Linked DNA regions of Cricetulus griseus. Each later gene encodes a partner of the first gene's protein in a complex. Links are inferred from orthologs where the notes say so. Each region holds a gene or a part of one and is shown in the gene's direction. Other genes may lie near its edges.

The links.
Region 2: the proteins of Llgl1 (region 1) and Prkci are in contact, whole or in part, in a cryo-EM structure (PDB 8R3Y), measured with the Homo sapiens proteins. The link is inferred for Cricetulus griseus from reciprocal best matches to the Homo sapiens genes LLGL1 and PRKCI. Residues at the interface, in NP_004131.4 of Homo sapiens: Ala315, Asp319, Glu367, His391, Ser392, Ala394, Thr396, Glu453, Cys483, Glu484, His485, Phe506, Asp507, Pro508, Tyr509, Ser510, Asp511, Pro513, Gln518, Lys519, Lys569, Ala600, Val601, Thr602, Leu644, Gly648, Pro649, Leu650, Ser651, Arg652; in NP_002731.4 of Homo sapiens: Asp339, Met341, Gln345, Arg348, Leu381, Asp382, Met399, Thr412, Phe413, Cys414, Pro417, Leu425, Glu445, Gly449, Arg450, Ser451, Gly457, Ser458, Ser459, Asp460, Asn461, Pro462, Asp463, Asn465, Thr466, Glu467, Asp468, Tyr469, Leu470, Phe471.

The regions. Positions count from the first base shown.
Region 1 is NC_048600.1:74,695,053-74,699,330, forward strand, and holds the start of Llgl1 (lethal(2) giant larvae protein homolog 1), read left to right. Parts: upstream 1-1,354; 5' UTR 1,355-1,428; coding exon 1,429-1,509; intron 1,510-4,278. UniProt on the Homo sapiens protein: Cortical cytoskeleton protein found in a complex involved in maintaining cell polarity and epithelial integrity. Involved in the regulation of mitotic spindle orientation, proliferation, differentiation and tissue organization of neuroepithelial cells.
Region 2 is NW_023276806.1:119,648,331-119,652,784, forward strand, and holds the start of Prkci (protein kinase C iota type), read left to right. Parts: upstream 1-1,645; 5' UTR 1,646-1,841; coding exon 1,842-1,942; intron 1,943-2,232; exon of another isoform or gene 2,233-2,292; coding exon of another isoform or gene 2,293-2,297; intron 2,298-2,446; exon of another isoform or gene 2,447-2,461; coding exon of another isoform or gene 2,462-2,469; intron 2,470-4,454.

The DNA.
Region 1 (4,278 bases):
CAGGTCAAGGACTACTGCCTAGGACTATGAGCGGCTTCTAATGATGGCTGGTGACCAGTGGAGTCTGGTCTTGGTCTGTGCTGGTTGTTGTAGTTTCAACCTCTGTGGATCTGAGGTGATACCGCGGTAAAAAAACAAAAACAGTGTGATATCTGTGCCTCTCAGGGAGCTCTTAAAACTATTAAGCCTGTTGAGACTAGGAGGCGCCCTTTGCTGTCAAGCCAACCACTTCATCAACAGCACCAGAAAGATCAGTAAGTAATGAGCTTCAGCTTCCAGTGAGGGCTGAGCAAAGCTGGCCTTGGGCAGTTTGCGGGTTGCCAAGTCCCTGTTGCGGCTGAGCAGCTACCTCAGGGTTAGAGGTCAACTCCTCTTCACACAGCTGGTAGGAGGGGGATGTGGTGGTGGTGGGGGAGTGGCGGCCGCAGGATCTCGCCCAGCTTTGAGCCCCTCAGCTTGCAGGAAAAGGTTCAGCATAGAGGCCATTGTTCAGATGAGAAAAGTCTTGGGAGGTGGGTGGGACAGGAAGAAAGTGGGGGCGGGCGCAGCTTTGTTCTCGGTGTTCCCTGTCGGGATAGGAGAGGGACCTCGGGGAAAGCCAGTATTAACCCCATATGCCACCTTCTGCAGTTCCTTTTCTTTGCCTTCCGTCCCTCTCAAGGATCTTCTGAGCCTGTGCTAACCGAACCCTTTGTGTTGGGTCCTGAAGAATGCATAAGAGTTCCCCAAGGGATGAGCGAATTATTATTATTATTATTATTATTATTATTATTATTATTGAGACGTAGTTTTCCTGTGTAGCTCTGGCTGACCTGTAACTCAGAGAGATCTGCCTGTCTTGCCTGCCTCCCAAGTGCTGTAATTAAAGCAGCACACACGGTTCCTAGAGAGGAGTTCTTTACTAATCCATATTTGAGACAAAAAGCTAGGCGTGGGAGACACTCTGGAGGAAGACACAAAGTTGTGATCCGTGAAAACTGGACACACAGACTCGGTAATCTCTGGACATTGGCAAAGATAGTGGATGTGGGGCCCGGAAGGGATAGGGAATTGTCTCTGGCATTATGAGAATGTGCACGTAGCTCAGTCGTGAGTGGAAAACAGCCTTCTCCAAACCACAGCCCTGCTTTCCACGCTGGAGACCCACCCCCGGACTACAAGTCCCAGCAGGCCCTGCACAAATGCGCATGCGTCATTCCCCCCCCCCCCCGGCGAGCCCGGCGAGCCCGGGGCCCGGTCCTTGCCCATTGTCTGGCGAGCAAGGGGCGGCGCGGTACGGCGGGCACGCTCACGTCTTGGGTCGGGCGGGCGGGCGTCCTTGGCGTCCCGCGCCTCCGTGCAGGCCCCGCCCCGCGCCTCAGGACCGGCGGGGCCGGGCGCATCCCGCGGCGGTGGCGGCGGCGGCGGCGGCGGCGCGGCGGGCACAAGATGATGAAGTTTCGGTTCCGGCGGCAGAGTGCCGACCCGCAGCGCGAGAAGCTCAAGCAGGAGCTCTTCGCTTTCCACAAGGTGCGGCGGCGGGGGCGGCCAGGGCGGGCCACGTCGGGCGCCTCTGCCCTGGGAGCGCCGCGCTGCTCGGGCGTGCCTGGTCGGGGTCTCAGGTTGTGCCCCGCGCTGCGCCGTGCGCTTTCTGGCTCCTCTTGTTTCTCTGCTCCTGGGTCTCTGAACCCCTGGTCTCTCCCGGGTGCCCCTTGGGCTCACTGGGGTCCCCCTGGCCTATCTGCCTTTTACTCTTGGCCTCTTTTCTTTCATTTTTGGTAATGTGGCCCGGCTCGGCCGAGGGGCACCCAGGGCCAGGTTTTGTTTTTCTTCAACTCCTGGGCGGGCAAGAGTGGGAGAAGTGGGGGGTGGGGCTGGAAAAATCCCAGTGCGGAGCTTCCACCCCTCTGTCCAGGCTCAACCCTGTCTTGGGGTCCCTAGTCTAGGAGATGTGCTGGTCTGTGTGCCCAGCTGCATTTTAAACCATAGATCCTCAGTTTCCCCCACGCCATGAAACGAGGCCAGTTTCCTCCTTGTGGATTCTGGATCTCCCTGAAACCAGGCCGGCCTGACCTTACTAAAGTTGGAAAGATGTGAGGCAGAAGGGGCCCCGGGAAAGGCCTCACTCCTCACCTTCCCGGCACTGAACAATATAGAGCCCTGCAAGGCTAACTCTGATCTGGAGTGATGGGACTCGGGTTGAATGTTACTTTTATCGAAGAGCCCGTATGTACCCCTGCCATTGAGGATTTGATTTCTCATTTCCATTACGTACGTGAAAAAAATTGAGGTTCAGTAAGGAGTGGGCCGCTTATTTTTCTTGCCTTGTTGTGTGATGACAATGGAGTAGGGACCCAGAGTTTTGAAGCAGCTTCTACCGTCCTGAGCAGAGCTTAAGGACCTTGGACTTCTCTTAGGAGATATGTTTCAGGGGAGGTGCTGCCATGGCTCAATTTTTCCTGTTGCGGTCCCAGGCAGCAATGATGGGGCTGCCAGGATTCACAGACACAGTAACTGAGAGCCTACCAAAGACCTGAGAGGAGAGGAGAGGCTCCCCAGATGTGAGCCTCTGCTTTTGCTGGGGTGACCATGAGAGTGAGCCCCTTGGAGCAAGAAGAAGGATAGGTCTTAGCCAGTGAATGGAGGTGTATAAGGGACCTGCACAGATGGGGTGAGGCTCTGAATCAGCTTGGCTCACCCTGGCTGGCGCTGCAGTGGCAGCAGTTGAGGGTGAGGCACAATTTGAGTGGGCAGCAGAGATAGGAGAGAGGTTATCTTGGGGAAAGGATTTGATTGCCAAAGGGGGTGTTAGGAGATCCCTAGGAAATAGGCCCCAGATTCTTGAGTTTGGGGTTGTGGTCAAAGGTGAACATGGACTTTTACCCTGGGTGTTGGGTTCAAGCCCAGCTCAGACCAGGAGTTGCCTATAGGATGTGCATCTCAAGCTGGTTTAATTTGGATTCCTGCCTCGTGTTGCTAGGGACACAGTGGAATCCAAAAGAGACAACTCTTCATTGAAGGGATGGTGTATGCATTGGGAAGAGGATGAGAACAAAGATCCAAAACAGAAAAGTAAAATATATAGTAGTTCACAGGACTGGCCGGTGCTGTGGATAAAACATGGTGTGATGAGGGTGTGGGAAGTGGCCCTGGGATGATGGTGCAGGCAGGACCAGCTAGGGAGGCCTTTTAGAGCTGGCCATTTAGGAGTGCCAGGTAAAGCACAGTTTGGTGGGGGAGGGGGCAGGAGTGTAGAAGATGTCAAAGCCCTGGCAAGCGCTGCTGCGTAGCAAAAGAGCAAAGGCCTTTGGAGTGGGAAACAGGTGAACTGAGATGCCCAGAGAGCGGCCACATGGTGAGGAGTTGGCTTTCACTGTGGATCAGCAGGGAGGAGGTAGGGATGGCTGGCTGGTTTTCATAGGTGACTTAGTGAGCACTGGTCTAGGCAGGCAGTGGGTAGGCCTGGAGCAGAGTGTGAGAAGGTGACTTCTGTGTGTCTTAAGGTAAGACAATAGGACTCAGGAATTGATCGGAGGTGAGATGCAAAGGACAGACACTACATAAGGGATCTAGCCTCTCTTCCATAAATGAGCCTGCTGGTGTCTACTCAGGAGTATGGGGACTTGCCATGCTGCCACCATGCTCTAGTGTGTCCTGGACACTAGACTGTAAGTCCGAGGCTAACTAAAGGAGGTCAGATCTGGACACGGCATGGCATTGCTCCTGAGAATAGGAATTCCCTGACCTTGGTGGCCCTGCTCTCTTTGGATGGGCTCACTGTCACTGCCAAGTAGAAGCAGGATGGATGGAGTACCATGATCAGCCCAAGACTGCATAGTTAGGCCCTGCCACACCAGCTATTCAGATTACTGTCCCCCATGTGGATGACCTCTTTTATTTATGTATTTATTTTTGAAACAGCATCTCACTGTGTGGCCTATGCGGTCTTCTAGCTCAGGATCTTCCTGCCTCAGCCTTCCAAATGCTAAGATAACTGTGTGCTACCAGACCACATCTGACATCTCTTGAGGGTAATCATGTCCCAGCTACATGGGTGGGAGATTCGTGATTGGTGGGCCAGTGGGAGAAAGCATATCACAGGAAGGGGTAGATACTGCAGCTTGGTGTGTAGGGAAGGGCACTGGACCTGGTTCACAAAGAGCAGAGAAGCGTCAGCATCAATACCAACAGTGCTCAGGACCCCGAATGCTATCCCTGCTTCTGATGGCGCTGGGATTCTTATTCTCTGGCTCTCTCCATGTGGGGAGATGGACAGTACCTTCAGGGTCAAATGGAAGC
Region 2 (4,454 bases), on another chromosome or scaffold:
ACTTTCTATTTCTTTATATTTACTCCTTATATGTCACAATTAATTTTTCTAGAGCATTATATAATCCGAATTTATCACAAAGCATAAAAAATTTTTCAATAAACCAATTAAAATTTGGCCATCTTGGGTTGGAGAGACGGTTCAGTAGTTATAAGGCACTGATTAATCTTCCTGGGAACCTGGGTTAGATTCCCAGAGCCCAATACAGGTCACCATTTATGTAGCTCCAGCTCCAGGGGATCTGACACCCTCTTCTGGCCTCTTCAGGAACTAGGAACGCATGTGGTGCACACACATAAAAAATAATTAAAAATTTGACCATCTTGTTTTAGCTATAATTTATAGTGGATAGTAATCAGTTCATATTTAATAGGATGATGCATGTCTAATTGTCAAAAGAATACGTTAGTGGGAACTTTCATATACTCCAAATTTGTGACTGTTGGCTGATGCCATACCAAATTAAGTGTCATGCATATAGCTCTCATGAGTTAAGCACCCAAGTGTAATTTGTGACTATAAAGAAAGCCCTATCTTTGATTATTTCAACTCTACATATGTTGCTATCTGGGCTGACTGGGTGGCTGGATTCAAGCTGCCTTAAGTATAGTAGGTTACATGACACAGCCAATACCTGAAGAAGTCTGAAAGTAAATTACAATGATTGATTATTTCTAGTTCTGTTAGCTAGTGTCAGTAACAAACGCTAATGAACTGAAAAGCTAGTTAAGTATTCATTGGGCACTTGGTTCCATAGAACAGCAGTATACAGGGGGCCTGGGTATGGGGGCCCTGAGGAAATCTCTTGTATGATATCTCCCAGTTTAGTGTCTTCTTTCGTTGCATTCATTAATGCTTTTGCTACCTATATCATTACATTCTCCCAATAAAAGAGTGAGCTGGGCAGTGGTGGCGCACGCCTTTAATCTCAGCACTTGGGAGGCAGAGGCAAGTGGATCTCTGTGAGTTCGAAGCCAGCCTGACCTACAGAGCGAGTTCCAGGACAGTCAGAGAAACCGTTTCGAAAAAATAAAAAGAGTGTTCTGAGCAGGTAATCAAATCTTGTTCCCCCAAGTGGCACTGTTTAATTTCAGTGATCGATGAAATTGGCATGGAGACTTTACCTAAAAACAGAATCTAAATCGTGAAGAAGCCAAGTTTCCAATGCCCTCAGATACTCGAGCTGTTTTCAGGATGTCCATGCCTAGAATCCCAGGAAGCAGGAGATAGAAGCAGAAAACGCGGCTCCCTATACTTAAGAAGCACGTCCCAGAATCCCACCGGGACTCCAAATCCCAGAAACCCGCGCGCAGCAAATCCATCCAGGAAGCACAGCAGGCTCGCTGAGGACGCGACCAAGTACAAGAATGGGGGGATCAACTCTACGCATGTGTGTGCCCTATAGATGTTTCGCAGGAAAATTTCGGTTTAAAAGCTGAATTTTAGAAATTATTTGAATTTCCAAGATCTACTCCCTTTCATATAGTCTTGTGGTAGACTGGCGGATCCCGTTCCCGCTGCTACCCTGTCCTCCCCCGTAAGGATGAGAGCGCCGGGGCTCCGCAGCTCCTGCGCCCGCCCGCCGCGGTATGCGGCCTTGGGAGCGAGCGTGGTGGGAGGAGCCGCGGCGGGAGGCGTGTTGTGCAGCGCGGCGGGAGGAGCGTCGGGGTTCGGGCTGTGGCGGCGAGGCGACCCTTCGCGCAGCGCCGCGGGCAAGGCGGGCAAGTCGGCGAGGCGGGCGCCCACGGCTTCCCGACACACTCAGGCGGCCAGCTCCCTCGCGTCGCCCGGCACTGCCCCGGCCCCCTCGGCCTCCGGCGGCGAGGCGGGGGAGTGAGGAGATGCCGACCCAGAGGGACAGCAGCACTATGTCCCACACGGTCGCGGGCGTCGGCGGCGGGGACCATTCCCACCAAGTCCGGGTGAAAGCCTACTACCGCGGGTGAGTGACCGCGCGGGCGTGGGCGGGCTCGGCCCGGGTTGGCGGGCTAGGGTCTTGGTGGTGGGGCACGAGCCATCGTGGGGGCGGCGAGGGGCGCGGTTGGTGGCACCCGGGACGAATGAGCGTAGGTCGCCAAGGAGTCAGTGGAGAAGAGTAGGTGCACCCGGAGGGGAGAACAAATCAGCTGACTGAGAGATTTGCAACTGGGTGGATTGAGGATTTTGAGGGTGCTGCTGTGGGTTCGGAAGCCTGGACTGCTCCTGTTAGCTGGCTCTCTTCATTACCGACAGGCCTGAAGCCTCCGATTTTGTAAACCAGATTTGTATCTGCCCTTCGCCGTTGGAGAGTTCATGAAGTGAGTCTGGACTAGGGTCATATAGCCAGTATAGGAATTAAATTTAATACTAAAGTCAAATTTTTTTTTTTTTTTTAGGATGTGCCCTGGCTCCTTAGGTATGGTCAGAATTTAGTGGCAAATATGCTGATCTACATTTTGGAAGCCCTTCTTTAGTGAGAGATATGGAAAAGTGAGAAGACAGCTTTAACTCCTGTGGTTTTCTTCGCTCAGTTGGTCACCAGGCCTTTAAATTAATGTGGCTGCCAAAAGTAATCCAGTTCTAAGAGATCATTGCATCAAATAATTCTCTATCATGACTTACCGTAAAGTTCTTCCCTTTCTTTGAATTCGGTTTGTGGCTTGAGATCATTGAGGAGCACTAGTGAGTGTGAGCATGGGGACTGAAAAGTAGGGATTAACAGAAAACCCAACTGCTTGTCTAGGCAGATTGCTTTTAAAAACTTGGAGTACCACAAGGTTAAAAGTGCTATGCGTGCTTTTACATTCCTGAGGGGATCAGTGAAGATAGCAGACCTTCGGATTGCTTTCTTGTTTTCATTTCAAAGAGCACTGGAGCTCCATGTCTTAATGCTTTCACAAAAGGCCTTAGACTCTTGGAGGCCAGCCTCTGTAACATCCGCTGATTTCAGGACTAATTTGTAGGACTTACAGTAAGCACTGTTGTTAGTTAAAATATAGGCGAGAGAGGTTATGACTTTAAAACAATCCCCCAAACACATTTTCGTTATTTCTTTTCTTGTGAGTTTTTTTAATATAAGTTGGTAGTTTTCATAGCCGCTTTAGCCATTTTGTTTCATGGCTAGACATGAACAAACTTTGCAAGATTGAAAGAACCACAGTCCCCCCTCCAGGACAAATCACACAACTTTATGATAATTTAATAGATATTTTACTTAGAACCCTAGTTCTAAACCTTCCTAATGATGTGGCCCTTTAATACAGTTCCTCAAGTTGGGGTGATCCCCAACCATAAAATTAATTTTATTGCTGCTTCATAACTGTGATTTTGCTATTGTTACCAGTTGTAATGTAAATATCTGTGTTTTCTGGTGGTCTTAGATGGCCCTGTGAAAGGGTCCTTTGATCTCTGCTTAAAGGGGTTGAGAACCACTGCTTTAAAGAGTGCTCCATTTTCAAAGTTGACAGTCCATGGCTATTAGGTGCAGAGGATGAAGTACGGTGGATTTTTAAAAAACTGCCTGATTATTGATAGGTTAACAAACCAGAGTCAATATGAATCCAGGGACATACTAGGAAAGTACATATTGTGTACAGGTGTAAAATAAAGTGTGTCTTTTAACTCTCCAGTCTCCACAGGCTCTACTGTTGATGGTTAACTTGTGGTTCTTCTGAAGGTTGCATTTATTATTCTAAAAGTTGCATTCATTAATCAGCCGCTTAGAGCACTTGCTATTCTTCCAGAGGAGCCAAATTGGGTTTGAAGTACCTGCATCAGGTGGCTTACAACTTTCTGTAACTTTAGTGCCATGGGACCCAGTACCCTCTTCTGGCCACTGTGGCACCCCATACATGTGACACACACATATACATAAACAAATTCTTGGGTTATCATCTTTAGATAATATTTATTGATTACTTAGACTAAAAGATGAAAATTAGTGTATATAATTTTCTATACTATATATACCTTCTGTTTCCTTTGTCTCTCAGATTTTTGTTGTTTAGCTATTGTTTTTAGTTTTTCACTTACTATTCTTAGCCTCCAGGGACTCGATGAAAGAGCAAGGAATTAATGCTTTTTCATTTTCTCCATATTTTTATTAGTTTAACAAGTATAAATAGGCACATTATATCAATAATTTCCAAATTTTCTTTGAAAAGAAATCTTTATTTATTGCTCCAATTATTTAAAAAAAGAAAAGAGAATATGGATATAAGATGTGTCTGTTTAAAATTTCTTGAAGACAATCTTCTAAAATTTAAGAAATTTTACTAAAAAAGACACAAATGACTGCAAGTCTTCAGTGCTTTGTAATCAATAGTAATGTCCTGATAGTACTTTTTCCCCAAGCCTCTTCTACAGACAACCTCAGTACTCTAAACTGTACCATTTTCTGTTCTCTGAGTCAGCCATTAAGATTATGTGTTTATTAACAATAATCTAAACTGGTGATTATATTACAGCCAGCTGCT